Linked DNA regions of Cricetulus griseus. The protein of the gene in region 1 interacts with the protein of each later gene in a pairwise test. Links are inferred from orthologs where the notes say so. Each region holds a gene or a part of one and is shown in the gene's direction. Other genes may lie near its edges.

Evidence for each region.
Region 2: the proteins of Tead4 (region 1) and Cep70 interact in a two-hybrid assay, tested with the Homo sapiens proteins (2 studies listed by BioGRID). The two-hybrid records come from large-scale screens. The link is inferred for Cricetulus griseus from reciprocal best matches to the Homo sapiens genes TEAD4 and CEP70.
Region 3: the proteins of Tead4 (region 1) and Wwtr1 interact in binary tests that used the Homo sapiens proteins (3 or more experiments, as listed by UniProt). The two-hybrid records come from large-scale screens. The link is inferred for Cricetulus griseus from reciprocal best matches to the Homo sapiens genes TEAD4 and WWTR1.
Region 4: the proteins of Tead4 (region 1) and Ssx2ip interact in a two-hybrid assay, tested with the Homo sapiens proteins (2 studies listed by BioGRID). The two-hybrid records come from large-scale screens. The link is inferred for Cricetulus griseus from reciprocal best matches to the Homo sapiens genes TEAD4 and SSX2IP.
Region 5: the proteins of Tead4 (region 1) and Mtus2 interact in binary tests that used the Homo sapiens proteins (3 or more experiments, as listed by UniProt). The link is inferred for Cricetulus griseus from reciprocal best matches to the Homo sapiens genes TEAD4 and MTUS2.
Region 6: the proteins of Tead4 (region 1) and Golga2 interact in binary tests that used the Homo sapiens proteins (3 or more experiments, as listed by UniProt). The two-hybrid records come from large-scale screens. The link is inferred for Cricetulus griseus from reciprocal best matches to the Homo sapiens genes TEAD4 and GOLGA2.
Region 7: the proteins of Tead4 (region 1) and Trim27 interact in binary tests that used the Homo sapiens proteins (3 or more experiments, as listed by UniProt). The two-hybrid records come from large-scale screens. The link is inferred for Cricetulus griseus from reciprocal best matches to the Homo sapiens genes TEAD4 and TRIM27.

What each region holds. Positions count from the first base shown.
Region 1 is NC_048601.1:18,130,186-18,134,729, forward strand, and holds the start of Tead4 (transcriptional enhancer factor TEF-3), read left to right. Parts: upstream 1-1,538; 5' UTR 1,539-1,541; coding exon 1,542-1,641; intron 1,642-4,544. UniProt on the Homo sapiens protein: Transcription factor which plays a key role in the Hippo signaling pathway, a pathway involved in organ size control and tumor suppression by restricting proliferation and promoting apoptosis.
Region 2 is NC_048597.1:207,691,808-207,695,602, forward strand, and holds part of Cep70 (centrosomal protein of 70 kDa), read left to right. Parts: intron 1-79; coding exon 80-203; intron 204-1,050; coding exon 1,051-1,231; intron 1,232-3,795.
Region 3 is NW_023276806.1:93,868,275-93,872,802, forward strand, and holds the start of Wwtr1 (WW domain-containing transcription regulator protein 1), read left to right. Parts: upstream 1-1,433; 5' UTR 1,434-1,448; coding exon 1,449-1,615; exon of another isoform or gene 1,616-1,728; intron 1,729-2,065; coding exon 2,066-2,500; intron 2,501-4,528. UniProt on the Homo sapiens protein: Transcriptional coactivator which acts as a downstream regulatory target in the Hippo signaling pathway that plays a pivotal role in organ size control and tumor suppression by restricting proliferation and promoting apoptosis.
Region 4 is NW_023276806.1:12,729,767-12,733,561, reverse strand, and holds part of Ssx2ip (afadin- and alpha-actinin-binding protein), read left to right. Parts: intron 1-1,061; coding exon 1,062-1,227; intron 1,228-2,320; coding exon 2,321-2,498; 3' UTR 2,499-3,795. UniProt on the Homo sapiens protein: Belongs to an adhesion system, which plays a role in the organization of homotypic, interneuronal and heterotypic cell-cell adherens junctions (AJs).
Region 5 is NC_048597.1:83,800,647-83,804,946, forward strand, and holds the start of Mtus2 (microtubule-associated tumor suppressor candidate 2), read left to right. Parts: upstream 1-1,308; 5' UTR 1,309-1,677; intron 1,678-2,938; 5' UTR 2,939-3,041; intron 3,042-4,300. UniProt on the Homo sapiens protein: Binds microtubules. Together with MAPRE1 may target the microtubule depolymerase KIF2C to the plus-end of microtubules. May regulate the dynamics of microtubules at their growing distal tip.
Region 6 is NC_048599.1:144,035,786-144,039,580, forward strand, and holds part of Golga2 (golgin subfamily A member 2), read left to right. Parts: intron 1-765; coding exon 766-824; intron 825-1,056; coding exon 1,057-1,198; intron 1,199-1,731; coding exon 1,732-1,821; intron 1,822-1,924; coding exon 1,925-2,032; intron 2,033-2,176; coding exon 2,177-2,264; intron 2,265-2,641; coding exon 2,642-2,979; intron 2,980-3,190; coding exon 3,191-3,304; intron 3,305-3,793; coding exon 3,794-3,795. UniProt on the Homo sapiens protein: Peripheral membrane component of the cis-Golgi stack that acts as a membrane skeleton that maintains the structure of the Golgi apparatus, and as a vesicle thether that facilitates vesicle fusion to the Golgi membrane.
Region 7 is NC_048596.1:243,527,500-243,531,960, forward strand, and holds the start of Trim27 (zinc finger protein RFP), read left to right. Parts: upstream 1-1,632; coding exon 1,633-2,052; intron 2,053-3,169; coding exon 3,170-3,265; intron 3,266-4,461. UniProt on the Homo sapiens protein: E3 ubiquitin-protein ligase that mediates ubiquitination of various substrates and thereby plays a role in diffent processes including proliferation, innate immunity, apoptosis, immune response or autophagy.

The sequences.
Region 1 (4,544 bases):
GGAGGAGGAGGAGGAAGAGGAGGAAGAGAAAGAGGAGGAGGAGGGGGAAGAGGAGACCTGGGTTGTGGAGTTGGGTCTGAAACAAGCCTGGATTTTCTCTCCCCTCTTTCTTCCCTCCCTCCTGAAAGGGGTGGACTGATTCTAGAGCCTTGTGCATGCTAGGTGCCAGGTGGGCATGCCATCAGCCTGTTTTGGGGTGGTGGTGGATTGGATCTTATACCGTAGCCTACCCTGCTTTTGAACCTGTGGCAGCGCTCCTGCTTCAGCTTCCTCAGTGCTGGGGTTACCAACCTGCACCACTCATCACTATGTTGGTTAATTTTTTATTTTTTTTTCCAAGACAGGGTTTCTCTGCATGTAGCTTTGGCTTTCCTGGACCTCTCTTTGTAGACCAGGCTGGCCTTGAACTCACAGAGATCCACCTGCATCTGTCATCTGAATGTTGGGATTAAAGACATTTGCCACTAATGCCCAGCCAATTATTTATTTGTTTGTTTACTTATGAGACATGGTCTCACTCTGTATCTGTGGGTGACCTGGAACACACTACGTAGCCCCAGGCTGGCTTTGAACTTGTGATCTTCCTGCCTCTGCCTCCAGAGTGCTGGAATTACAGGTGTGAGTCAGCATGCGTTGCCTAATTTTCTTTCCTTTTGGAGATGAGGTCAGAGTAGGGCGGGCTCATAGCCCCTCCCTACCCTGCTCTTTGGATGTTTCCAGGGCCTTCTTGTCCTTGTGCTTTATAGTTTTTGTCATACCTGTGGGTGAGTGTGGACTGTGGCGTGGGCTCAGTCTCTCTACAGCCCAGTCTGGTAGGAATAGCCAGGGCTAGGTCATAGCCAGGAGCCATTGTACTAGGTGGGGCCAGGCCTGTCCTAAACAGTGTCTCTGTGGCCACAGCAGGATTAGATCAGGGCAGAGTATCTGGGGTTCAGATTTGTTATCTCTTTTCTGGGTCATCAAACCACATTGGGAGTTCTGCCAGCCTGGAGAATCCCTGTGCTGAAGGGGATTCCCAACTTGTCCCCACCGTGAATGACTGTAGCCACTGTGTCACCTCATATGTCCTTAGGTTAGGGTGGATCTCCCGGAAGGAAACCTCAGGTTTTCTTTTCCCTCCTAGCTTCAGTCACAGGTCGGTCACTGCAATGCAGAGGCTGTTCTAGTCACCAACCAATATCACAGCCCACAGGCAATGAGGGTGGTCTTGGTGAGACTGGACCTTTGACCTACACCTCCAAAGCTCTTAGAGTCAGTGCCTGGAGAGGGAACCGTTTCTGTCCTTGTGTTCAGAGTGGCCCGACTTCTTTCGTCATTTCTGTGTAACACCAGGCATGTCTTGTAAACATTTTGAGTTTCAATTTCTATCACGTCCTGTTTGGATTGGGGACCGTGGGAGTTGGTTACAGATGACATATTGACATCCCCATGAGTTATCTGCACAGACAGCTCCCAGTGTACGAAGGTCAACTTGTGATCTTTCTGTATTACAGTGTGGAAGTGATGCACATTCAGTAGAAATTTTACTGTTTTCCCAGCTAATGATAAACAGTATGTTTTTGCCGTGTGGGGCAGCAGCAGTGAGCCAGAGTGCCCAACCAGCCACATGGTCATGGGGTTGCCAGCATTGCTTTGACGCAGGTAATTAAAAGTATATTTCATGGGATATACAGAGCCATAGTGTAAAAGTATGTCGGCAGAGTGCACAGGCGCAAGCCTTTCATTTAGCCAGCCGTTGGGCATCAAGGCAAGAAGATCATTATGCGTTTGAGGCCAGCCTGATCTACATAGAGAGTTTTAGGCTAGCCAGGGCTACACAGTGAAACCCTAATGTCAGTACTCTAGTTTAAAAAACAGCATATCCCATTGAAGGACTGGAGAGGTGGCTCAGCAGTTAAGAGCACTGGCCGCTCTTGCCGAGGGTCTGGGTTCAGTTCCTGACACCCACATGGCAGCTCACAACCACCTGTTATTCTGGTTCTGTGGCTCCACCATCCTTTTCTGACCTTTGCAGGGACCGGACACACATGTTATACACATACCATACATCCAGGCATAACACTGCTAGACATAACATAAAATCTGAGAAAAATGTTTTATGTCAGTAACTACCAGGGAAATAGAAATTAAAACTGCTTTGAGAGTGCGTCTCACCCCACTCAGAAAGGCTGTCATCCAAAAGTCAGAGGACTGTAGGTGCTGGTGAGGGTGTGGACATGGGAACGGCTCTTCACTGTTGGTAGAAGCGGAGCTTGTCGCAGCCACTGTGGAAGTCAGTATGAAGGTTACTGAAATGCTCTCAATCTCATGATCCTCCTGCCTCAGCGTCTGGAATCTCAGATACAGGCATGCATCACCTTTCCCTTCTGCATTAGGGTATTATTAACTGACTAGTAAGTTTACCAGAATGGTATCCCATTGTATGTGGAAGAACATCTCTGTTGTGAAATAGTAGTGTTATTTGTCCTGGCCTGAAACAAAGGGAGCCTTTGGCAGCGTCAACTCATTAACGGTAATGCTGCCTGCCTGCCTGCGTTCCTACCTGCACCCATCCAGCAACAGGACAGACACTAATGTCTGGGTGATAATCGTGTTCTCCAGTTGGGGGAACAGGCAAGCTCAAGTGAGACAGCCTAGGCCCAGCCTGTCACAGCAACATTGTGTACTGTGTGCTTTGGTGGCTGGGGGAGTGAGGTTGTGTGGGAGATGGACCAGACACCGAGAGGTCTCAGGGTCCGAGGGCTGGGCTGGCAAATGTTCTACGGCACAGCTGCAACCCCAGCCCCCAGCAGTCGGATTTGGTTGCCTTCTCAGTCAAGCCACACTCCTCTCTACCCAAACGGTGCCCCGCAGCCGTGGCTTCTCTGTGAATCACTTGCGGATCTTCACTCTTCTGTTTCTGGAAGAGCGTAGGGTTCTGAGCCTTAGGAAGATCCAGACACAATCCCAGTTCCTGAATCTTCTCAAATGTCCCCTACGGCCAGCACCTGTGGGCCTTGGTGTAGAGTGCAGTGTTCTTTGGGCCTGGTTGTCTCAAGTAGGACATCTGGTGGCTTTTGGGTGGGGCAGAGAGAGCTAGAAGCCTCCAGGCTGGGCCTGAGAGCCAAGTCAGGGATTATTTTTATATCTCTGGCCATAGCACATGGTCTGGGCAGCGGTGCCATCTGTTTCCCACCCCACCACTCCCCTGGAGGGTCACTTGGGGGAGGAGCAGGAGGAACATCTCTGAGCTGAGGCTGACTTACCCCATTTTTCTGGCCACAGGGCAGGCTTGTGTGGGCAGTTTGCCTAGTAAGGAAGGGTAGGAGTGGCCAGCCAGTCACGACCAGGGACCAGGAGCACCACAGCCACACAGGGCCAGGGACAGCTCACTGCAGTAATGAATCCCATGTCCTAGGGCCTTGTGTGACCTGCTGCCCCACTTTCTCTGGGACAGTCCCAATCTTGGGAACATGGAGTGCAGGTCCTCAGAAAACCTCTCCCATGGGGCAGTCTGGCACAGATGGTCTCTAGTTCGCCCAGGCCTGTTCTTCTGGGCTGTCTTGGTCCCAACTTTGCAGTGTAGGGAAGGGCAATGTTGAAGAGAGGCAGGGCCCAAAGACTACCTCCTCTGGCACGTGGTGGGGGTGGGGCCATCATGAAAGGTGATACGGGGCTAGCCCTCCTCTTCATGTTGCCCTAGGCCCAGCTCAGAGTGTATGAGCTGTGCTTATGTTAGGCCCACGGAGAAAATGAAGTCCAACACCAAAATTAATGGGGCATTATGCATTAGAAGGTTAATTAATCACTGTCAGATATTAATCTTCATCTTTAGGGCTGCCAGGCCTGTTGAAGAGTTCAGATTTTGCACCCCAAGTTTGGAGCTTAAGAGCTGAACAGCCTGTATCTGTTAGACAACAGCCCTCCCTCCCCCAACCCCTGGCAACCTTCATGGCACCTTATCTGTAAGAATGTGCATCACCTTCTATGTGTGTACCCGTACTCACTGTCTTTTTTTCTGTGACTGGCTTGTTTTACTTAATATAATATCAGCGCCCATCCATGTCACAGCCTGTGATAGGGTTACCTTCCTTTTTAGTGCTAATAGCAGTCCATCGTATACCCACACCTCATTCTGTACTCATGGAGGGATGAAAGCAGGAACTCTCCTTTTTTTGGCTGTTGTGAATAGCGCTGCTATGAACATTCGTGTACAGATGTCTTTTGGAGTTCCTGCTTTCAGTTCTTTTGGGTGTGTGCCAAGAAGCAGGATTAGTGGATCACACTATTATTATTATTATTATTATTATTATTATTATTATTATTGGTTTTTCGAGACAGGGTTTCACTGTGTAGCTTTCGAGGCTGTCCTGGCACTCGCTCTGGAGACCAGGCTGGCCTCGAACTCACAGAGATCCCCCTGCCTCTGCTGGGATTAAAGACGTGCACCACCAATGCCCGACCAGGATCACATTATTATTATTATTATTATTATTATTATTATTTATTGGTAGTGCTAAAGATAGAACTACTCAAGCATGCTCAATAAACCCTCTGTCAGTGGG
Region 2 (3,795 bases), on another chromosome or scaffold:
GTGTATGTATATGTATTATGTATTATATATACATATATATGTATATATATATTATATATATGTATGTATATCAATGTAGAGCTCATCGTTTTTGACAAACAATCATCACAAAGAATGAGGCAGACTTTGAAAATGTTGATAGAAGAAACAACACGTCAGCAGAGCATGATCCGGGACCTCATAGAGACCAACCAGCAGCTTAAGTAAGACAGCGGGCTTGTTTGCATGCATTCTAAGCACAACTCCCTGGGGAGGATCCTGAAATGTCTTCATTGTACTTATTTTTTTTTTAAAGATTTTATTTATTTATTATGTATACAACATTCTGCTTCAATGTATATCTGCACACCAGAAGAGGGCACCAGATCTCATAACGGATGGTTGTGAGCCACCATGTGGTTGCTGGGAATTGAACTCAGGACCTCTGGAAGAGCAGTCAGTGCTCTTAACCTCTGAGCCATCTCTCCAGCCCCTCATTGTACTTTTTTAAAATTTATTTTATTTCTGTCAACAATGTACATAATGTACCATGTGGGTACTTGAATCCAGAGTTCAGAAGAGTACATCAGATCCCCTGGAACTAGAGTTATGAATGATTGTGAACCACCATGTAGGGGTTGGGAACTGAACCTGGGTCCTCTGGAAAAGTAGCTAATGCTCTTATCTGCTGAACCATCTCTCTAGCCCCCTGAAATTTCATTTTTATTAAATGTAAAGCAAAATTGCTTTTACAAATAAATGGGCAAAAATTAAGTAAACGACTTTCAGTAGAACTTAGCATCAATATGTAATGGTACCCTCTATCCTATTTACTTTCTCTTATAGATGAGATTGGGTATGTCAGGAAGCATGGTTATACTCCTGTTACAAGATAGAAGTGTTGAGGCTGGGGTACAGCTCAGTACTAATTATGCTAATCTTTGATTTTCAGCAATAAAAAAGGTAAAAAATGTTAAGAATGTAGAGATATTTTGGAAAGTAGTCTGTTATATGTCATGTACAATCTGATTTATTTTAACACTGAGGGAAGGAAGTGTCTCTCTTGATTAGAAGTGAACTTCAGCTGGAACAGAACCGAGCAACACACCAGGAACAGCGAGCCAATGACCTGGAGCAGATTATGGACAGTGTGAAATCCAAAATTGGTGAATTAGAAGATCAGTCCATAAGCAGAGTTTTTCAGCAACAACAAAGAATGCAAGATCTTCAAAAAGAGCATAAAGTATTACAGGTATTGTATTGACATATCTTTTCTTATTTGATGGTTAATATTGAAAGTTCTTCATAGTCCCAGGTAATTTCCATGTCACTTCCAGGGTGTATGTATGTCTGTGGCTAAGGTCAAGGAAATCCAAATGCTTGAAGTGTGTGTAAAGATTGTTAAAGGAAAGCAGTTTACATTGGCATAGGTTAATAATGTTAATAGGTGATCTTTTCTACTTAGCACCTCATTTTGAGATTCATCTATGAGGCTGCATGTTATAGTTTCATGAATATCCCTAAAAGATGCATGTGTGTATCTATATGAGTATATGCCACATATGTATGGGTATCTTTGGAGGCCAGAAGAGGGTGCTAGGTCCCCTGGAACTGGGGTAGTAACAACAGGAGCTTGTGAGCTTCAGATGTGGATGCTGGGAACTGAATCCACATCTTTTGGAAGAGCCGGAAGTGCTCTTAACCACTGAGTCCTTTGGCATCTCATACTGCACTGTTGCATAGCTCATTGAGCCTGCACAGGGATTTCCCTACACTTGTAAATGTCTAGCAGTCTACCTGATAGCAACCATAGTGCCATGTTTAGAGACATAGTGTCCTGTATATATGTGACAATTTCTGAATAGATCTCATATTGCCCTGCAATGAGGTCAGATTTCATTGTAAATGCCTCATAATCTCCATGTACATCCCATAATGAATATTGTAGAAAGTCATAGTTATCTACAAAGAAATCCTAGTACAATATTTTTTATAATGTCATAATACCTTGTTGCCCGTATTAAGCATATATTCCCATGTACACAGCTCATAGTGCTTTAATGTAGCCCATAATGCTCTGCTTCGAGTTTATGGTGTTCTATATAGATCTCATAGTGTACCTGTATGTGGGGCATTTTCTTAACTACTGATTGATGTGGGAGACCCCATCCCATTATGGGTAAGGCCACCCTTGGGCAGGTGATCCTAGGTAAGAAACCAGGCTGGAAGCCGGGTGGTGGTGGCACACGCCTTTAATCCCAGCACTCAGCAGGCAGAGGCAGGCAGATCTCTGTGAGTTTGAGGCTAGCCTGGTCTACAAATCTAGTTCCAGGACAGGCTCCAAACTACACAGAGAAACTCTGTCTCGAAAAACAAAAAAACAAAAAAACAAAACAAAAAACAAAAAACCAGGAAGAAACCAGGTTGGGTCTCGAAAAACAATAAAAACAAAACAAAACAAAAAACAAAAAGCCAGGAAGAAACCAGGTTGGGCCAGCCATGGGGACAAGCTAGTAAGCAGAACCCCTACATGACCTCTGCATCAGTTCCTATCTGCAGGTTCCTGCCCTATTTGATTTCCTGTCCTGACTTCCTTCAATGATAGATTGTGATGTGAGACTATGAGTCAAATAAACCCTTTCCTCTTCAACTTGTTTTTGGTCATGATGTTTTATCACAACAATAGTTACCCCAACTAAGACAATAGAGCTTATTGAATCCTATATAGATCTCATAATTCACTGCTGGAGCTTTGAGTGCCCTATATAAAGTGCATAGTGCCATGTAGAACCCATAGTGCACTTCTATTGAGTATATTGTGTGCTCCAGCTTGAGTTCATATTACAACTGTATGAAGTTCAGAGTATACCTTTTTTAATATCCATACTACCTTATTTAGCCATCATAGGACATGTGGAGAGCTCCTGAGGTTCTCTGTAGAACTCATAGTTCACTTTTGTAGAACTCCAAGTTCAGACCTCATCTTGTACATAAAGAATTTTTAGTATTCTTTTTTGGTTTGGTTTGGTTTGGTTTTTTTCGAGACAGGGTTTCTCTGTGTAACTTTGGAGCCTGTCCTGGAACTCGCTCTGTAGACCAGGCTAGCTTCAAACTCAGAGATCTATCTATGTCTGCCTCCCAAATGCTGGGACTAAGGGTGTGCCTCACCACTGCCTGGCAGAATTCTCTTTATAGTCTTTAAAGATCATTATAGATCTCATAGTACTCTGTATGGAACTAGGACAGCCTTTTTCAAAGTGCCTTGTGTATTTCTCAGTGTGAACTTGTTTAGAGCTCCATGCCATGATAGTGACTTGTGTACATTTTACAGTGTATCTCCACTGAGTTCACATCACACATGAATAGAACTCATAAAGCACTTGTTTAGACTTCATATTCCCAAGTACATACCTTGAAGTGCACACACAACCACCCCTCTGTGTGTGTTTGACAGTTATATTGAACTCACAGTGTATCTGTGTAACTCACAATGTCCTTTATGAAGCTCATCATGCACCTCTGTATAGCTTAAGGTGCTCTTGATTAAAGGACATAATGATATCCGTGAGCTCACAGTGTCCTTTATGGACTCCAGGTACCCTAACAGAGTACTCAGTGCCTATTTTATAGAGCTCACAGTGACCTGAATAGAGCTCACAGTGCACATGATTTAGAGCCCATACTGAAGTAGTACAGATCATAATACACGTTTATATAAGCTTGTAATGTTCTGCACAGACTTCACAGTCTCATCTGTATAGCTCATAGTGCACTTACACACAGCTTACAGAAGTCTCATATTGCATGTATGTTGAT
Region 3 (4,528 bases), on another chromosome or scaffold:
TGGAAGTTGGTTCTCTCCTTCCACCATGTTGGGTGTGGAAATGGAGCTCAGTTTGTCAGGCTTGCCCGCAAGGGTCTTTACCTGTTGAGCCATATCGTTATCCACTCTTCTATTTCTTAAAGTGCCTTTGTCCTTTCAACTTTCTGGTAGATCATAGGCCTCTTCATTTTTCTATAACTCTGTCCGTCAACTGTGGATTTAATTTTGACTTTATTTTGCTCTTTAACAAGGTGAGTCACAATGCCTGAGTTTAATATAATTCTGTTGACAAACTTGTACCCAGCCCAGGCTAAGCAAAGTGTTTTACGGGTATTGCCTTACTTAGCTTATCATTAATAAACGTCTATTAGAATCTGTGGGTCGGGTAGGGGCTTCCTGGAATTTGACTTAACATGCGGCCACCCTTTCTTGGAGAGAGGCCGAAGGAAAGAAGGAATAGAGTTGAGCAGCTGGCAGTAGGAAGGGCAAGGCCGCCTCCCTCTTCCTGGCAGCTGTCTTACCAGGCCTGAACTCCTTTTTCCCAAAGGCAGGCAGGGGTCTCCACCTCTGGCCCAGGTCCAGTCGCTGGGAGGGTGGGTAGCTTTTTCCGAGTCACTGACACACCCTCTCCATCTTAGCCACCTGCCCCGGTTCCATCCCAGTTCCAGGCTCCCTGGAGGGACTCAGGGACATTCCAATCCTCCCACTACCCTCTCAGACGCCGCGGGAGGAGGGAAGGGGGCGCAATTGCTTGGCTCTTCTAGAACTCAGCGTTGTCTGTTTTTTTTTTTTTTTTCTTTCAACCCCAAGTATCCTGGATTCACCCGGTAGAGCAAACTAACTATTGATGAAAGGCTTGAAGGCTGGTAGTTTACAACCGATTCTTTGGCAAAGCCGCATCTTCAGCAACAGTGGCACTTTTTGGACACCGTCTACGCTCTTGCAGACAATTGAAAGCCAAACCGCCAAGTTGCCTCCTCACCAGACCAAATATGGTCACAAGCGCTAAGCAGCCTTCCGTGGAAAGTCTGGCCTCGCGGGTGTCTCCCTGCGCCAGGGTGCGCCCCGGCCCGACCTCGGGCAGATCCGCGCCCCGTGCCGCGATCTCGATGCGGGGGCGCTCCCGTCAAGGCGAGGGCACAGCGCCCTGGACCGACCCTTTCTGGCCCCTGGCCCCTCGACAACGACTACGTGCCCTCCGTTATCCTCAGGCTTGGATTTTGTCCATAACCCCTTGATTTAACAAGCTTGAGCCATTTTCTCTTTGATCCCGCCCCAAGTCAGTGGTAAACTCAAAGGAATGCAGATAGAGCGCTCGGCGGGAGAGGTCGGCGCGGCGGGGCGGGGGCACGGTCTCACTCGCCGCGAAGTGCCCAGCCCACCCCGCCCGCCCGCCCGCCAGCCCGACCGACCGACCCGGGTGGGAGGAGGAGGAAGAGGAGGGGCAGGCTGACTCCGGCCAGGAGGTCATGCATAATTCAACAGCTCCACTTTCGGCCCGCCTCTTTCCTAGGGGTGGGAGTTTGCTGCAAACTTTGTTTATGGGACAGTCCGGGAGCCTTGGCCGCTGCTCTCGTCTGCTGCTTCTCCGTCGCCTCCTCGCTCAGTGCGAGCGCCCGGGGCTAGCTCCGGGGATGTAAGAGTCCAAACTTTCGGCTGCTAGGAATTCGCTCAGGATCTGCCAGACGGGACCGGGTTCCAGCTCGCTAGCTCGGGAGGCTCCCAGGCTCGGCTTCCCCGCGTGCCCAGGTAGCACCCGCCGCGCCCCGCACCCTCCCGGGCGCCGGGCTCTTCGGCGTCCGCGGTCCCGGCGCCTGGGATCGGCGGTGGGTGTATTGCTCAGGGGAGGCTGCGACCGGGCCTGATGCAGGCACCCTTCCACCTCCCACCGCTGCCTGCTCAAGGGAGCTTCTTAGCTGCGGGAAAGTTGCATAATCTCGGAGGCCAGGGGCGCCCCCTCCCCCCACCGCTGGTCCCTCGACCGGTACCTAACTGTCTCTGCGTTTTTTTTTTTTCTGTCCTTCCCCTGCACAATCTCCTCTGACTTCAACTAAAAGGATGAACTGATCTTCCTTTTCCCTTGCAGAAAGATGAATCCGTCCTCGGTCCCTCCTGGGCTCCCGCCGCCAGGGCAGCAAGTCATCCACGTCACGCAGGACCTCGACACGGACCTCGAAGCCCTCTTCAACTCTGTCATGAACCCCAAGCCCAGCTCTTGGCGGAAAAAGATCCTGCCGGAATCCTTCTTCAAGGAGCCGGATTCTGGCTCGCACTCGCGCCAGTCCAGCACCGACTCATCGGGCGGCCACCCCGGGCCTCGACTGGCAGGCGGCGCGCAGCACGTCCGCTCGCACTCGTCGCCCGCATCCCTGCAGCTAGGCACTGGTGCGGGCGCCGCTGGGGGCCCTGCACAACAGCACGCGCATCTCCGTCAGCAATCCTATGACGTGACCGACGAGCTGCCACTGCCCCCCGGGTGGGAGATGACCTTCACGGCCACTGGCCAGAGATACTTCCTCAAGTAAGTCAGCCGGCAGCCAAGAGGGGCACAACTGTGATGCCCAGGACGCTGTCGCTTTCGTGGTGTGTGCGTGCGTGTGTGTTTGACTGAGACTCTTCCAAGGTTCTTCAGAGAATTGCAAAGTTGGGAAACTAGGGAGTGAGTCTCTGGGAGTTGGACTTGACTAGAAGCAGGGAGCAGCTTTTGTGATCTTAGACACTTAATTCCCTCCTTTAACTAGTTCAGAGCCAGGTCTATTAGCATAAGATAACAGGAACTTTGGGAGACCTTGGAAGCGGTGGGTCTGCCATGAGTAGGTCGTCTGGGTGCTTCAAACAGTCAGGAAAAGCAAGCCGGAAAAGAGCACAGTGCCTAGTGGGTTTACCTCTCCCAGCTGGTGATGTAATGACCACACAGCACAGTGATGTAATTACCAACTGCATTGTAAAGTAGTTATGGGCTGGACCAACAAATTGTGTGGAAATTGGGTCAGGAGTCTTATTATGTTACACTTGGTAACCTATAATACCATCACATTAGGAGTGTGCATTGTCATCGGTCGTGTCACATTGGTCTGGCTTCTTCATGTAGTGAATTTTACATTAGACTCAGTTTTTGGATTAGGTTGTACAGGAAAAATATATTTTCAAATGCTAGAGGAGGTTGGCATTCCTGAGGAAAGAAACAGGCTGGAACTGGAATTGTTATCAGAACCAGTGAGATCATAGGGGTCAGGCTAGCAAAGGCCTATTTGGAAGTTGTAGCTGAACCACTTGGTGCAGAATCACTTCTTGGCTAATCTTCACTGCCAAAAGGAAAAGTGCCTACGAACATGTCTTGAAGTTCATCATAGAGCTGTATCTCTTTGTTGAAGTAGCCTTGTTTCAAAGGTTCAAATGTAAGGTAGCATGTACTATTTTAAAAGTTTAACCAAACTCCTTTTTGGCATTTATCTTTGATACTTCGATTGTTGAGGCCCTAAGAATGAGCATATGGTGGTGGATGAATTTATTATGGGCAAGTCTGAGACTCATACGGGTTGTCATTTCTTCCTTCCCCATCCCAAAGCTGCTGATATTTTGTTTATATTAAGATTTATTTTGCTGGGCAGTGGTGGCACACAACTTTAATCCTAGCACCAGGGAGGCAGAGACAGACAGAAGTCTGTGAGTCTGAGGCCAGCCTGGTCTACAAATTGAGTTCTAGGACAGCCAGACCTATTACTCAGAGAAACCCTGTCTTGAAAAACAAAAACAAGAAAAGATTTATTATATTATTTTCTGTGTATGTGTGTGTGCCTGGGGATATGTGTATGTACCACATACATGAAGTGCCCATGGAGGCCAGAAGAGGGTATTTAATTCCTGGGAACTGGCAGTGTGAGCTGCAACTCCCCTAATTGGGGATTAGGTTGCTAGGAACTGAACTCCAGTCCTCTGCAAGAGCATCAAATGGTCTTGACCACTGAGCTATCCCTCTAGCCTCTTCTTGGGAATACTTTTAATTATTTTTATCTTTGTTTTGGGGGTTGGTGTGATGGTGATGTCCTGAAGCCAACTCAGCAGTCTTTTATCACAGTCGGTGTCTGGATTACTGAGCCATGGTATAGATGTGTGCTCAGTGCTTTGGTTTCTAAATAGTGTTAAAGTCAGGTACATGATGTAATAGCATGGTATTTTTCTAAGTTTACAAAGTGCACGCATGTTCAAAATATCATCATGTATTAAGTTCACTTAGGTAAATGCAGCTGTACATATTTCACCAGGATTTTTACTAACATGGACTTCGCAATAAATATAAGTAGAGTCCAAATAATTTTAGATTGTCCCTTTTGATCTCAGATTATTTTTAAACTGCTCATGAATGCACATATAAATATGATTATTGAAATATGAAATAAGAGCTGGGATTTCCTAATGTCTGTGGAAACATAGACAAAAATGACCTCTAAGTAAAAACAATTTCTTTTCTACATGTCTTTTTAATCGTTAAAATTGCTCAGATGTGTTTGTGATTTAGGGCAAAAATAGAAGTTAGCCTAGTGTATAG
Region 4 (3,795 bases), on another chromosome or scaffold:
CTGATCTCTGAGCAGAGGTGAGCTGCAGCCTCACTGTGTTCAGGGAACCTCTGTGCAGAGGTGAGCTGCAGCCTCACTGTGTGCAGGCTGATCCCTGAGCAGAAGTGAGCTGCAGCCTCACTGTGTGCAGACTGATCTCTGAGCAGAGGTGAGCTGCAGCCTCACTGTGTGCAGGCTGATCCCTGAGCAGAGGTGAGCTGCAGCCTCACTGTGTGCAGGCTGATCTCTGAGCAGAGGTGAGCTGCAGCCTCACTGTGTGCAGACTGATCTCTGAGCAGAGGTGAGCTGCAGCCTCACTGTGTTCAGGGAACCTCTGTGCAGAGGTGAGCTGCAGCCTCATTGTGTTCAGGGTGACCTCTGTGCAGAGGTGAGCTGCAGCCTCACTGTGTGCAGGCTGATCTCTGAGCAGAGGTGAGCTGCAGCCTCACTGTGTTCAGGGTGACCTCTGTGCAGAGGTGAGCTGCAGCCTCACTGTGTGCAGGCTGATCTCTGAGCAGAGGTGAGCTGCAGCCTCACTGTGTTCAGGGTGACCTCTGTGCAGAGGTGAGCTGCAGCCTCACTGTGTGCAGGCTGATCTCTGTGCAGAGGTGAGCTGCAGCCTCACTGTGCAGGCTGATCTCTGTGCTGCTAGGACTTCATCCAAGTGAAACATTATTTTCTGTTTTTAATCTCTGCCCACCTGTGTGTTCAGGTGCTGGCAATCAAACCCAGAACCCAACCCATACTAGCCTACAACTCAATAAGGAACTGTCCCCTCTGGCCCCCAAATCAACTTAATTGTTTATTTACTGAAATCATAGTGGACTCATAGGAGGACCTTGCATGTAAAAACTAATTTTGTGAGAGTGTAATAATGCCATGTTTTTGTAAATTCATGAGTTTAGGTATTGACCATTTTTTAAGCTAGATTCTTCTATTTGCAGAATATGTAACAGAGACACCAGTTAATTTGTTCTTTCTCAAATCCTACTCCAAATTGCCATGATTAATCCTGGTTGGCTGTCTTCCTTGTGTCTGGTGTTTTAACATGTGTCCTGTTCTTTCCCTTATCTAAAAACCAGGTTCTGATCCAGACAATCTTACAGTGCACTCACGGCCACGGCAAAAGAAGCCACACAGTGTGACTAATGGGGCACCAGCTTGCACATCAAAACTGGCTAAGTCTCTTCCTGCTTCACCCTCTACTTCAGACATTTGCCAGACACGTTCCTGTGTGTCTGAACACAGGTATTTGTTTTTAAATGACTTTTTACACACTGAAAATGGTTAGCATGGCACTGCTTTGTTGTTACACATGGTTTTTTTTTGACAGTAGAGGCTTTGGAGAGAAATGAGATTCTGTCTGTACAGAGATTCCCAGTTGGGGGTGGGGCGCTCTGTGCTAGGTAATGAAGTCTAGTGGAGAACAAGGGAGCACCTGGCTTACTTTACATTTAAAGTATAGACTCGGGAGCCAGCCATGGTGGTGCACAGCTTTCATGCCAGAACTCAGGAAACAGAGGCGAGTAAATCTCTCCAGTCTGAGGCAAGTGTAGTGCCCATAGTCAATTCTAAGTCAGTCAGGGCTACATAATGAGACCCTGCCTTAAAACCTGAGAGACAGAGCCAACACATTTCAGGAATCACTTAAAAATCTTAGCACTGTAATTGTATTGAAGGATGCCATTTTGATAGTTTTCCAGAGTACATAGTTTGAGTTTCTTTGGGTGCCATTACACTGGTATTGAAAGGCAAAGAGCCAAGAAAAGCCACTTCCTCAGGGTGATAACGAAGGTTCCATTCCATTTATAAAATTCCATTCCATTCCATTTTCTGAAACAATTTAATCTGTATTTTTAGGTTAGTAATCTTGTAAGAGCTACAGAGCAAATATTAGGAGGAGGGGGAGAAAACCATGAGCTTTAAAAGACTAGTACTCCGCTCTTCTCTGCGAAAATAGTGTGGTGTCAGTGCCGTGAGCCAGGAGAGCCAGGTAGAAGACACCGCTGGAGCTAAGATGAGAGCTCATGTCCATTTGGCGCTGGGTCCTAATGTGAACACAGAGCCAGCAAGTCATCCCCTGGTGGGTTAACTGTGGGAAGTGGACATTGATCTGCACTGTGACCATCTTGCTGCTCAGAGTCTGTACCTGATGTGGGTAGATGGAATTCTCAAATAGGGCCAGTTGTGAGTGTGCCCTCTCACTTCCTAAGTGGTTTCCCAAGACGCTTGTGTTGTCAGCACAGACCCGGAGCGTCAGACTTAAGGTGTTCAGGGACATCTGCTCTTAACCACAGCAAGGGGCAGACAATTAGTTATTAAGATTTACCTTGTTTTCCAGGAGTTCAACCAATGTGCTGAATATAGCTCCTGAAGAAACTAAAGCAAATGAGATTGGAAGAGAATGCACAAATCAGAAATGGAGTGTGATGTCAAGACCTGGTTCACGGGAAGGCTGCTACAGTGGCTGCTCCTCAACGTACACGAGTTCTCACCTGGAAAGAGACACCTTACCTTAGACACACAGACTGCAGGGTTCTCATGAAAGCGTGCATCTGAGGTCGCGTCCGAGTTAAACAGGGTGTATCATAAAGTCAGTCATCTAATTTAAGATGGTCTGGGTTGTTTGTCTGGACTTCGCGTCTTCCCCCAAAGAACTGCAATGTGAGCTATTGAAAAGGATGCAAAAGCTTTGGGAGTGTGGTAGTTAGTGACAGAGCGGCTGGGTCTGTGACGAGAGGATGTGTGGTGTTTGGATGAGACAGAGGCAAGAGTGGGCTTCCTCTCCAGGTATTGAAAATAGCACTTTCAGGGGACCGATTATTGTAAACATTCAGTTTTTGTCCCAATGTGGTTGGCACCGGAAGTTTAGCCTTCACTTGAATGTATACTGTAGATTTTTAACAAAGCAAGTTCTATATTTATTATGTTTAGTGTGATTTGGGATTACCTCTTTCATATGTTTTACATAAAGTGAAATTTATGTATGTTCTGTACATAGAGATATACATGATTATGTTAAGAGGCTTTAAGGTTTAAAAATTTCACACAACGCTTGAGTGTAGTGTTTCATGCCAATAAAATGTTTTCAGAGGCATTGTGTTTACAGATGCGTTAGGGCAACTGCCACATGGCATTTAAGATTTTATTTTAAGCCATCTGGGCAATAGAAATTCAAAGCCACTCTGTGAAAGCTGAGTTGAGATAACTAGAACTACTAACATTACATTTTCGAGATTTTTAAAGCATTATATTTTATTTTATATATGTGAATGTTATAATTTCTAAGAGGAATATTGATTATGGAGTAATGGGGGAAAGACAGAAAGTATCTTTGAATAACAATATGAGGGCATTGGTTTAAGATATTTGGATGATAAAAGATAATTTAAGATAGCTGGATGGTGATATTTTCCTTACCAAATGGGTTGTCAGTACAGGAATATCTGTACCAGCCAGGACTTTATATCATTGCCAATAATTTTATAATTAAAAAATTTTCAACTAGATACTACTACTAAAGAAATAAGACAATGTAAAAACATTGACTTTTGTAATTGAGATATGACATTCTGGACGCCCTTGTGTCATTTCGTTTTCAGAACAATCTTAGGCTCTTTTGTCTCTGGTGTCTCTGCTGCATGTCTCTTCATGAGAAGTATGTTACTATTGATAGTAATGACAATGATAATACATGTAGACTAGGCCCAGGCTTCTCCTGGATGGATTTTCATCCAAAAGCTTTTAAGTGCCTCCCCTGCTTGTCTCTGCACATAGAAGCCTGCACAAGTCCTTGCCCAACGATGCAGGTTAGTC
Region 5 (4,300 bases), on another chromosome or scaffold:
GCCAAAGGTCCATCAAGATGTAAATTAGTGAGCTGGAGCGATGGCTCGGCACGAACTAGTCAGGTATGTCTGAAGCAAGTGTTACTAGGAACTCATGTGCACTGAGGGAGGTGTACGGGTATGTGTTGAGGGTAGTGGGAGCAGAGGTCACAGCTGGGAATGCCAAGGCCTGACCAAGTGACACCAGGTGGAGTGAGGCATCATTGATACTCTGGCATGCTTGGCAGTCTTTCACATCCCCATCTTGTCAGGGGAGGGTAGAGCTGTCAGAGGTAAACTGAGTCTCAGAGAGCTTCTCCAGGTCACCTCCCCTTTCTCCAGGTCACGTCCCCTTTCAGATCTCCAGAGTCTGGAAAGAAGAAACTTCCATGAGAAAATATTTCCATGGGAAGGGCCAGTAGGCAAGTTTCAGCTACGTTTTCTTAATTAGTGGTGGATGTGAGAGGGCCAAGCCGATTTCGGGTGATGTCATCCCTGGTCCAGCAAGCCTTGGAGAGCAAGCCAGTAAGCATCATTCCTCTGTGGCCTCTGCTTTAGTTCCTGCCTTGACTTTCCTTTCTGATGGAGTGTAAACTGAAATAAGCCCTTTCTTCCCCAAGTTGTTTTTGGTCATGGGGTTTTATAAGAGCAAGAGAAACCTAAGAAAGACATGGAGCAGAGGGGATTGACCTGTGCCTGGAGCCTGGTAGCAGCAGGTATTAATTAGCTGGGCACAGCCGAAGGGGGAGGGCAGCAGGTCCGTGGTGCCCGCACTGGGACAAAATGAACAGGTTGCACATTGACCTGAGAGCTGGCAACAACCTCCAATAGAGAACATGGAGGCAGAGATGGCTTCAGGATAGGACTGGGAATCCGGGCTGACCTCAAGGGGAGAAGGGCTCTTTCTAGTGCAGAGATTAAAATAAACAGAAAATGTGAGCACTTGATTGCATAATTCCAATTGTATCTAGAATGGGTTTAAAGTGATGTTTAACAATAATTGGTACATAATTGTGCATATTATGACATTTAATAGACATATAGGTCAGCATGGTCACATGAAGGGAATGGCATACCCACAACCTTTGACATCATGTCTTTGTATTGGGATGTTGTACACCAATAACCTCCTAATTCAAACATTTGGTCAGGAGGGAGGCAACTTCAGACTCCGGAAGTAAACAAAACTTACAAGGCTTGTGAAGTTCCTGAAACTTACAAGATTCCCAAGGCTGTTACCCAAGGTTATCTAAGAAGTAACAAAGGCTGGTGGAAGGAGACTCTGAGCCTGCAGGTCATTCTGGGAGCTCCTGGGATGTAGCTCTTGCTTTTAAGATAAATAATAAAGCAATCGATCTTTTCCTTGTAACTGAAAAAATGCAGCCTGCCAGCAAAAGAACTGGCTGAGAAAAGTATCTTGCATGCTTAATCTATAAGAAGTTGCTTGGACATGAATGTGTGTGGGGTTTTGGAGATAATTTGTTTTTCACCTGTAATACATGATATAATCGTGTAAGGGAAATGGGAAACATGCTTTTTTTTTTTTTTTTTCTTTCTTGTATTCACTGCAGTTGTTCACTTGAAAAATAGAATGTCACCACAGTGTAATTTTTATACTGCTTGAAAGATTCTGACTGGGCAAATAAGCTGTAAGGGATATAAATTAAGAATACACAGAAGGGATACATCTGGATAGAGGTAAGAAAAGAAAGAGATAAAAGAGAGATATGATAGAAAGACTCTAAAGGGTGTGTGTGTGTGTTTGTGTGTGTGTGTGTGTTTTCCTTTTTCGCCAGCCCCAGGGAGTTAAGTTTGCCCCAATGACCAGCCCCCCAAAATTAAGTTTTACATCCTCAGATAGAAAAGTCAATTGTGTGATTAGTCTGCTCGATTTCATGGCTCCCCCTCAAATCCTGAGCTGCTGAAGGCTGGTCCTCATGGCAGCAACACAGCATGGAAACAGAAACAGATCCGGTTTTTTGTTTTGTTTTGTTTTTTGTTTTGGCATATTCAATTACCAATGTCAACCATAGTGTCTGTTGGGTTCCTGAATGTTCAGAGTTCTTCTATGCAACTGTACCTGTCAACCACCCCCTCCCCGTCCCTGTCCTTCCCTGATGCTCACTCCTGTCCCTTGGTAATCGTTCTACTTTCTGTTCTAGTGACCTGGAGTTTTTAGCTTCCACATGTATGAGTGGGTGTGCAGTGTTTGTTTTTCTGTGTCTGACACCTCACTTTATGGAATGCATTTGGGTTGATGTTTTGCTGTGGCTAGTTCCCGGATATGAGTGTCTTTTATAAGAATACAGACTTGACTGCAGGGTCATGGGTGGGGCTCAGGCATACGTGTTTTAAAAGAATGATCCCAGGATACTTATTATTGCATAGAGATACCTCCTGCCGATGGATGTCTGAGATTTCAAGATAGCAAGGTGTACTGGCTTGCTTTTCCGTTGCTGTGATAAAACACTGGCCAAAATCATCTTGGGAAGGAAAGGATTTATTTGGCTTACACTTCCAGGTTACAAACTGTCAGTAAGTGAAGTCAGGGCAGGAACTCTAGGGAGGTGCTCAAATAAACTCTGGAGAGGAATGCTGCTTGCTGACTCACTCTCTGACCCAGGCTCAGGCTCGGGCTCATGTTTATGTTTAGCTATCTTTCTATAGCATCCTTCATTCATCTGCCTAGGGATGGTACCACCCACAGTGGGCTAGGCCCTCTCACTTTAATCAACCAATCTGATTCAGGCAGTCCCTCAGTTGATGTTCCCTCTTTCCAGTTGAGTGTAGGTTGTATCAAATTGACAGCCAGGACAGAGGGTGAAGCCAATTTTTGGTCGGCTTGATAGTGTTTCTCAAATTATGCTGTGGTTCTACTCCATCAAACCTTGAGAGAAAATTTGTTTGAGGGTGGTAGGGTTCCACATATCATAACTTGTCTTTCTTTTCTCTGGTCCAGTGGGACTCCTGGGTGTCAATGAGCGTGCTTGGCTTAGAGTCATATGAATGTCACCTGCCTTACTTCCTTCTCTGACCCTGGGATACAGAAAATCCATCAGCAGGTATGCGTTAGCCTTCTTGCTATGTATCTAGTGACCATACACTTTGTGGCATAAAACCCTTCGCTATCTTATGTTCCCACAGTTGTGGAGTTCAGGCATGGCTTAGCTGGACCTGTTCCACAGGCCATAATGTGGCCATCAGCCAGGCTGGCTCTTAGATGGAGCTTGGAGCTCCTCCAGTGTTCCTGGTTGTTGGCAGAATCCACTTCCTTCTGGTTATACAACTTCTTATTTGTGATGGACTGTAGGTCTATAGGTCTGTAGGTCATTGGCAGTCTGCTATTACATGGCAGATGTGTCTGAGACCAATACAGACAGGCATTTTCTTTCTGTATCTCTCTGGGTAGCCCTTGCATTCATATAAGGTAGCTGAATGAAGAAAGTGATGTCCTGTCCTCTCTACAGAATGGCTGTGTATTAACCTGCTTAGGCTGCCACGACAAACTACCTTAGACCAGTCTGATTATTATATCTTTTTTTTTTTTTTTCACTTTAAAGGTGTGGGTAAGGGGGCCTAATCACTCTTCCAAGGTCCTGGTTGATAGGTTATCCAATTCCAAGTGGTCAACACTAAATACATGTACATATGAACAGTACTAAATGGATTGGGTTTGTGTGTGTATGTCTAATAATTAAAAAAGGTCATGAATTTGATAGTCAGTGGGGGAGAGGGGACATGGGAGAAGTTAGAGGGAGGTCAAAATGATGGAAATACAGTACTCATATATGAAATTCTCAGAAAAAGAAATGAAGTTAATTCGGGCAGTGGTGGTACACACCTTTAATCCCAGGACTCAGGAGGCAGAGGCAAGTGGATCTCTGTGAGTTCAAGGCCAGCCTGGTCTACAAAGTGAGTTCCAGAACAGCCTCCAAAACCACAGAGAAACCCTATCTGGAAAAACCAAAACCAAAACCAACGCCCCCCCCCCAAAAAAAAAACAAACAAAAAAAATGAAGTTAAAAACAATTCACAACCTCCCCAAACTGCACCAGGCTGGTATTCAAGCATTTCAACACATGAGCTTGTGAGGGACAATTTCATAGTTAATTTATAAAATTGTCACATCATAGCTATTGCTGCCTTATGCCATTTCAGAGTCTTAGGCTCAGCCAGTGAGGACCGGTTGGTGAACAATGAGCAACCTTCTTCCCAGGAAAGCAAATGCCTTTCTGGAAGCTCCCAGAAGATCATAGCTTAGCTTTCATGCATGTCAGGTAGAGATTTCGGTATATCCACAGACACTGACTTTGTTTCAGCA
Region 6 (3,795 bases), on another chromosome or scaffold:
GGCTTAGCAGTTCAGAGCACAGGCTGCTCTTCCAGAGGATTCAGGTTTGATTCCCAGTTACCCACATGGTGGCTCACAACTATCCATAATTTATGCTTGTGGTGATTAGACATATGTGTAGGCAAAACAACAATACACATATAATAAACAACATTTTAAAAATATTAAACAAAACCAAAAAACAAACACCAGACGGTGGTGGCGCACGCCTTTAATCCCAGCACTTGGGAAGCAGAGGCAGGCAGATCTCTGTGAGCTTGAGACCAGCCTGGTCTACAAGAGCTAGTTCGAGGACAGGCTCTGAAGTTACACAGAGAAACCCTATCTCAAAAAACAAAGCAAAACAAAAAAACCAACCCTGAAGGCTATGACTGATGGTGTGGACTTTTGGTCTCCCAGGCTGCATTAGGAAGATCATCTAAGCACAGGAGGTTGAAGCCAGCTATGATAACATAGTGTGACCCCACCTTAAAAACAAAACAAAGTCAGGCAGTCATGGTGCACACTGGAGGCAGACTCAGGCAGATCTCTGAGTTTAAAGCCAGCCTGGACTAGAGAGGGACATCCAGGGCTACACAGAGAAACCCTGTCTAGAAAAACCAAACAGACACACAGAAACCTAAGACCACAGGCTTAGAAAAGCCTTGGGAAACATCAGTGTGGTTGGGAAAAAGAGATGTCACTGTGAAATCACTGGGGCCGTTGGTGTTGTGCCAGCTGTTTCTTTAGCCTGCCAGGTCCAGACTCAGCTCTCTTTATCTGTAGTACAACAAGGACCTAACCAAAGAGCGAGATGCCCTCAAGCTGGAGCTGTACAAGAACAAGTAAGAATGGGAAGGAGGTTGGGCTTCCTGCAGCTTTAGTGTGGGAAATTGAGGCTCAGAGGAGACAGGTTTAGCCTTGTGTAGATCTATGCGCTAGTCCCAGCCATACTTGTGACTCATGGTATGATCTGTCACTTGTGTCTGTGACTTTGTAGCAAGGCTCATAAGTTGCTCTAAAATGTGGTCCTTTCTGTTCTTGGTTCTTTCTTTTCTGCATTACCTCTGGCCATAGCAAAAATAATGAGGACCTGAAGCAGCAGAACTCAGAACTGGAAGAGAAACTTCGAGTCTTAGTGGCAGAGAAAGCAGCTGCACAGTCAGGGGTGGAGGACCTGCAGAAGAAGCTGGAAATGTCGGAGCTGCTGCTGCAGCAGGTGAGAGGTGCAGCTCATACCCCTAAGGCCCAGGCACACAGTCTCAGCATCCTTGGTGGTGACCTGTAGCCAAGCACTGGAGAGTTTGAAGCCTCCTCCTGGTCCTGCTGTAGACCTGACCTATATAGTCATAATCTTAGTGGTTGTGATATGGCTGTTAAAGTTTTCTTTTTTGATTTATCCTGGTTGAAAAACCATCTTTTTTGTTACTTTATTTATTGATTGATTTTGAGACAAAGTCTTATCAGTAGCCAGGTTGACCTGTAACTCACTAGGCAACCAGACTAGTCTTGAACTCATGGTAATCTTTCTACCTTAGCCTTCCAAGTGCTGAGGTTGCAGGTGTGACCCACTGTGCCTAGCTGAAAAGCCATCATTCTGCTTCATTTAAATGACACACGCAAGAGGCTGTTCACCACCTCCTGGCACTTTTCTCACATGGCATCTGAGCTTCTCATATGAGTTATCCATTAATCTGGCTCACTCTTGTGGGAAGCACTGTGGTGGATGAAACCTTCATTTTCCTTTTACAGTTCTCAAGCCAATCTGAGGCCTCTGATAGTAACCAGCAGTTACAACATGCCATGGAGGAGCGGGCTCAGCTGGAGACCCATGTAGGCCAGGTGAGGAGGATGTGTTGGGGGAGAGGATGGCATGACCCCAGGTGGCCAAGGGCCGGTGAGAACCAGTGATAGCCCTTTGTAACTTGTGTGTTGACTGATGCAGTTGATGGAGTCTCTGAAACAGCTCCAGATGGAGAGAGACCAGTATGCAGAAAACCTGAAAGGAGAAAGTGCCATGTGGCAGCAGAGGGTACAGCAAATGGCAGAGCAGGTGAGGCCTGGCCCCTGGTGTCTTTGCTCTTCCTGAGCATCAGTGGGGCGCAGCTGAGGGGTTAGGGGCTTCAGTTTTATGGAGGTGGGACTGGGAATGGATGGTGCCCGGGATCCCCAGCTCTTTCCCTCTGCCTTTGGGCAGGTGCACACTCTGAAGGAGGAGAAGGAACACAGAGAAAGTCAGGTACAAGAGCTGGAGACCAGCTTGGCCGAACTCAGAAGTCAGATGGGTGAGTAGGGCAAGAGTGACCTGAGAGCAGGAGTGGGTCCAAAGGCCATTAAGGTGGCTTCCATTGCCTTGGGGTGGCAGGTGGGTGCAAGGGCATTGTAGCAGAGGGCAAGGGGTCTCTGCCAGGAGGTAGCAAATCTTGTCATCCCTCTGAGCATGTGTCCCTCTGTGCAAAGCAGGGTGCCATGGCTACTGCTACCCCCTGCAGGTGACTTAGTATCACTTAACTGTACTAGACTGGTTTGAAATGCTTACCTCCTCTCAGACCCTGACAGACAAGAAGCCAAGGCTTGGGGCAGGGGGCCTGACTTGAGCTCACAATGGAGCCTATCTGAGAAGCCAAGGGCGGTTCCCCTCACTGCCTGCTTCCTTTCTTAGAGGAGCCGCCACCCCCACCGCCCCCAGCTGGACCCTCTGAGGTGGAACAGCGGCTGCAGGGAGAGGTTGAACAACTGCAGAAGGAACTGGAGAATCTGACAGAACAGCTGAGGGCCCAGGTGCAGGATAATGAGAGCCTGAGCCACCTGAACCGGGAGCAGGAGGAGCGGCTGCTGGAGCTGGAGCGGGCAGCAGAGCGCTGGAGTGAGCAGACTGAGGAGCGCAAGCAGATCCTGGAGAGCATGCAGAGTGACCGCACCACCATCAGCAGAGCGCTGTCACAGAACCGCGAGCTAAAGGAGCAGTTGGCTGAGCTGCAAAACGGCTTCGTCAGGCTGGTGCGTGCGCAGCCTGCAGGCCTCCTTACCCAAGGGATGGGGTGCTGTCCACCTCACATGAAATGGTAGTGGTGTGGGCACCCAGCAAGCCAGAGCTCTGGGGCTTGTAGGAATGATCCAGAAGCCTTCCTTGCTCTGTGGGAGGAGGTGCATATGCAGGTCTGGGCACCCTAGCCACTTTAGGTCCTACTGACGGCTGCTTTCTGTCCAGACCAACGAGAACATGGAGATCACCAGTGCACTGCAGTCAGAGCAGCATGTCAAGAAAGAGCTGGCCAAGAAGCTGGGAGAGCTGCAGGAGAGGCTGGGGGAGCTGAAGGAGACGGTAAGACCTACTGCATGTGGTGCCAGCCACTGGATTTGGAGAGGGGAAATGCAAGGCCCATCACAGATTAGCTGCAGCCTGGGAGCAGGCTTGCAAGTCAGCCTATGACTGTTGTATTAGAGATGGTTATCCCTGGACTGCTCTTCGTCTGGGTCAAGACCAGAAGGTGAGTCTTTATAGTTAGAGGTTATACAAGGCTCTGGGTTCAGGCTGGATTCACATCCATTTGTTCACATGCTTCCTATCACCAAACCTGATTACTGATCTTAAAAGATGAGTTTCCTCATACAAGTGTTGAACATTAACTGAGAAAATGTCCATAGACTATTGGGCACTAGTGGTTTGTGCAGAACAATATAGATTGGTTCCGTCAGCTCTTCCATACCTAGGGCCTAAAGAGGTGAGAAAGGTGTGAGGCTGCACATAAAGGCATGGGCCCAGGGTGTGGAAGCCAGCCACTGCCTGCACTCAGGCCTAGCCTTCCTGCAGGT
Region 7 (4,461 bases), on another chromosome or scaffold:
GATGCAGAAGCCCCTGTTGCTCAAATACAAGGGCAAGACTGAGACAATCCACAAGAAAAGCAGGAAATGCTCCATCAGCGGTGACACTGAGCAGAACTGAAAAATTATTCTGTGCTAGGAGAATGGACATTACTGGGGCTACGAGAGCTCGGTTCATCACAGGATTCTCGATAGAGCAGAAACAAGCAACTTTTAGGTTCTACTCAATGCTATCCAATGCACTGGGTATTTTACTTAAGCTAATGGGTAAACATCTTCATGGCTCAAACTTAAAAAACAAAACAGTGGAATGTAAAAAATGAATTAATAAAAAATACAACTCCTTGCTGGGGTATATCCCTGAAAGACATAGAGTATGTGGCTCAAGGGGGACACTGAAGCGGATTGTTGGGAGTAAGAAATTACTAGAATTATTAACGCCAAGTGCGGAAGGAACACAGCACCGCATACTCTCAGAATTTCAGGCCCCGGCGCCATAGGGAGCAGGCCTGGGGGTGGGGTCGGGGGAGGGGGATTCTGAGAACGAGGCTCAAGTGGCAGAATCCGGGTCCTTAGAGGGTCTCTTAGGAACCTGCAGCTAGGCTGATTCCTCACCAGGTGGCAGGGAAGAGGGCAGGGAGGTGTGTCGCCATCTAGCCCTTTTGGCACGTCTGGTCTGGCAACCTGGCTTGGTGAAGTGAGAAATTTGGGCACTTAGGGAGCCTGTTAAGAAGATAGGGACTCAAAAGCGGGCTCTCCGTGGGATGGCTCCGTGGGATGCTAGGGGGAACGGGGAGGACTTCAGTAGGTTTCAGGGTCTGATGATCAGCGCCCTGGTCCGGATTCTAACAATCTCCACCTCACATCAGAAGAAAAGAAGGCTCGGGACGGTAAACCCACTTACTTCACGGTGGAAGTAGACCTGGGCTTCTCAGTTTCTGCCCTTCAGAAAAGTTGCTGCTAATTCAATCTTTTTCTAGCAATTGGTAATCGCCTGGAGCTGGGTGTGTTTCAGAGTGCTTCACACACAGGGAGGGGCTTATCGGGCCTCCCCGCCCGGCTTCGCAGCACTTATACAAAGCCATCAGACTTTTAAAGGAGCCGAGGCCTAGGCACTAAGAGGAAGCCCAACAAAAGACTACGGTCCCGCAGACCCCACGGCCGGGGCACCCTGCGCACACGGCGCTGGGCCGCCACCACCACCGATCCCCAGGCTGGGTGCCGGGTCTCCCTCCGGCTCTGGGGACTCCAGGACAGCGCTGAGAAAACCCGCCTTCTGGCCGGGAGGAGAGTGGCGCGCGAAGCCAGGCCCCGCCCCCGGTCCACCTCTTCCGCTCGGCCCTGAGGAGTCTGCGCGGCCCGGGGATTCGTTCCGACGGGGCCACGTTGCCCTGTGAGCCAGTCCGCGGCCCCCGGCTCCCGGCACCCCTCTGCTCGGCCCCCTGCCGGGCTCCGGGACCCAGGCCTTCCCTCCCTGTCGGCGGGGTGCAGCTGTGCGGGGATTGACGTGGCCGCCCGAGAGCTCCGCACGCGTCTGGGATCCCGGCCTCGGAGGCCCCGCCCCGCTCCGGAGCGGAGAAGCCGAGCGAGCGCGCCGGGCTCCGCTAGAGCTCGGCTCCGTGCTCATGCCCTGCGGCCCAGTGGGCCCGCGCCATGGCCTCCGGGAGCGTGGCCGAGTGCCTGCAGCAGGAGACCACCTGCCCCGTGTGTCTTCAGTACTTCGTGGAGCCCATGATGCTCGACTGCGGCCACAACATCTGTTGCGCTTGCCTGGCCCGCTGCTGGGGTGCCGCGGAGACTAACGTGTCGTGCCCGCAGTGCCGGGAGACCTTCCCGCAGCGCCACATGCGGCCCAACCGGCACCTGGCCAACGTGACCCAGCTGGTGAAGCAGCTGCGCACGGAGCGGCCGTCGGGGCCCGGCGGCGAGATGGGCGTGTGCGAGAAGCACCGCGAGCCTCTGAAGCTGTACTGTGAGCAGGACCAGATGCCCATCTGCGTGGTGTGCGACCGCTCGCGGGAGCACCGTGGCCACAGCGTGCTGCCGCTGGAGGAGGCGGTGGAGGGCTTTAAGGTAGGGCCGGGCCGGCGGACAAAGGGGCGAGCCGGGGGCTTCCCGGCCTGCCGCCGAGAAAATGGCGAGCCGGACGTGGGGCCCAGCGCCGTCATTTCCTCCTTGTCGGCTGCGGGGCCTCCGCACTCAGACTCGGAAGGAGAACCTGTAGCTGGCGAGGCCAGATGCGTCCCCACCCCCATCCCTTCTCCCAGCACCCCCTGTTAACTGCCTCAACGCGTGCGGGGCAGGGACCGGCGCGAGGAGACCCTCCCTTTGACAAAGGAGATGCACATCGAGCCCTGTCCACTTTGGTAGGCCTTGGAGACCTCGAACTCATCTGGCCCGGGATATCAGACTAAACAGTTGCTGTTTGCTGGCTGAGTTCACATCAAGCAATGCCTATCACTTAATCTATGTCCCCAGCACTTCCCTGTAACCTGTTCTAGAAGCTAATGGAAATGAACACAGTTCTTTACTACTTGAGTAAATCATTTAGCCACTCTGAGACTCGGGAGATAACCGTTGTTATGAAGAGTAAGTGAACTCACAAGACCTGAAGAGGCCTTTGTGAACTGTTGAATAAACACTGGCACGGCTACACAGTAATGCAAAAATGTTACTTATAAAGGAGCTCTAAAGTGACAATGAGTCTATTTTGAGGGCTGCAGAGATAATACACACATAAACAGAATTGTATTTGTTTAAATGTGAGTTCATCCAAATGTCAGTTCCATTTACAGAGCTGTATCAGTTCACTCACTGGTGATGAGTCGTAGTTTGGAGAAGTGATGTTTACTGATTCTGTGTGTGAGGAAAATAAATAAATAATTTTCTCTGTATTCCTCCGAAGAAGAGGTACACCTTAGCTTTTGAGCCTCCTTACCCAGATGTCTCATAACTTCTGCAGAACCCATCTAGGAATTGGTAGGTGGCTCAGAGTTTAAAACAAATCACTAAAGCAGAGCTGTGCTGGCCCCTGTGCTTTGGGCTCTTCCCCGGAGTGGCATTGTGGTCTGAGGACAGTGCAGCCGGGCCTTGGCACCTCTAGTTTGGGTTCCCGTGTGATACACAGAGTAACTATTCTGATGCTGGAATCTGCATGATCTTCAACTGCCCAACTGTTTGCTTTCTTCAGGAACAAATCCAGAATCGGCTGGACCATCTAAGAAGAGTGAAAGACTTGAAGAAGAGACGCCGGGCACAGGGGGAGCAAGCCAGAGCTGAGCTCTTGGTAAGGGTCCAGATCTCCACCCTGCAGAGGCCTTGCATCTGGGCAGTAAACTTTTGAACTACTAGCAGTCTCTGGTAATCCTTGAGAAGTCTCAGTCTTGGCCAGGGTGCAGTGAGAAACTTCCAAACAGCACATGATGTCTGTCAGTCCCACCACTTAGCTCTGCCATGTAGGGCTGAATGAGACCTTGTCACCCCTTGCTTGAAAATAGGATGAAGGAAACTTCTCAATGATCCTGAGTAAACTGAAATTACACATAGAACAATGTCAGGTCTCTGGGAGGTTTTGTCCAGAGAGAGACAGCCTCTAGGAATCCAGAACCTTGGATTTTCTTTTTGGCTCTGACACTTAGCCAGTTTAAATGGAGAGGTGGTACAGCCTCTCTGGGCCTTCATTTCTTTGTGAAACAGAGAGGTCAGATGAAACCTGTGGTTCTCCAGCAGGCCAGTGCTGCCCTTTCTGCCCTTGAAATGGTAAATGGCTTGTTTTGGGCGGAGTCAAAGACTGAGTGGGGATGTGGGACAAGGTTGATAAGTGTTTTACAGCAAGAAACAGACCTATGCCAGGCAAATTGTTCCTGTAGGGGTGTTAGTCACACCCTTTAGGAAACATGATCGTTAAGGTTTCTTTTAGTTTTAATTTTGTACATCTAAGATTACATTGTATGCTTTATGCCTTTGAAAGACTTACCCAGCTGAGAAGAGGTATGAGCTTATCGAAAGGGTCTATAAACCAAAGGGGGGGTGGGTGCGTGCGTGTGCGTGCCTAAGTGCTTGATAGAAGATGCCTGATAAGTGCCTAAGAAGATTGGCTAGAGGTGTGATGGGGGAGCACTTGAAACAGCTGAGTTCAGATCAGGTTTGACAAACTTTCTAAAAAGGGCCAGTAGTATTTTTAAACTTTGTGGGTTTACACAAACAGCCCAGTTACTATATCTCAAAAGCATCCATGTCTAATACATAAGTGAATGGATGTGGCTGGATTCAAGGACAATATTTCTTGACTGTTCTAGAGCCATTTGCTTATTTCTTTAGAGATAATTTCACTATGTAGGCCAGAGATGTTTTGAACTCTCAATATTCCTTGCTCAGTCTCTCCAGGTACAGGGATTACAGGTATGCACTGGCACACTTATAATTCTTTTGTTAGAACTCTTGGTTTTTTTTTTTTTTTTTTTTGAGATGATCTTGAATTTA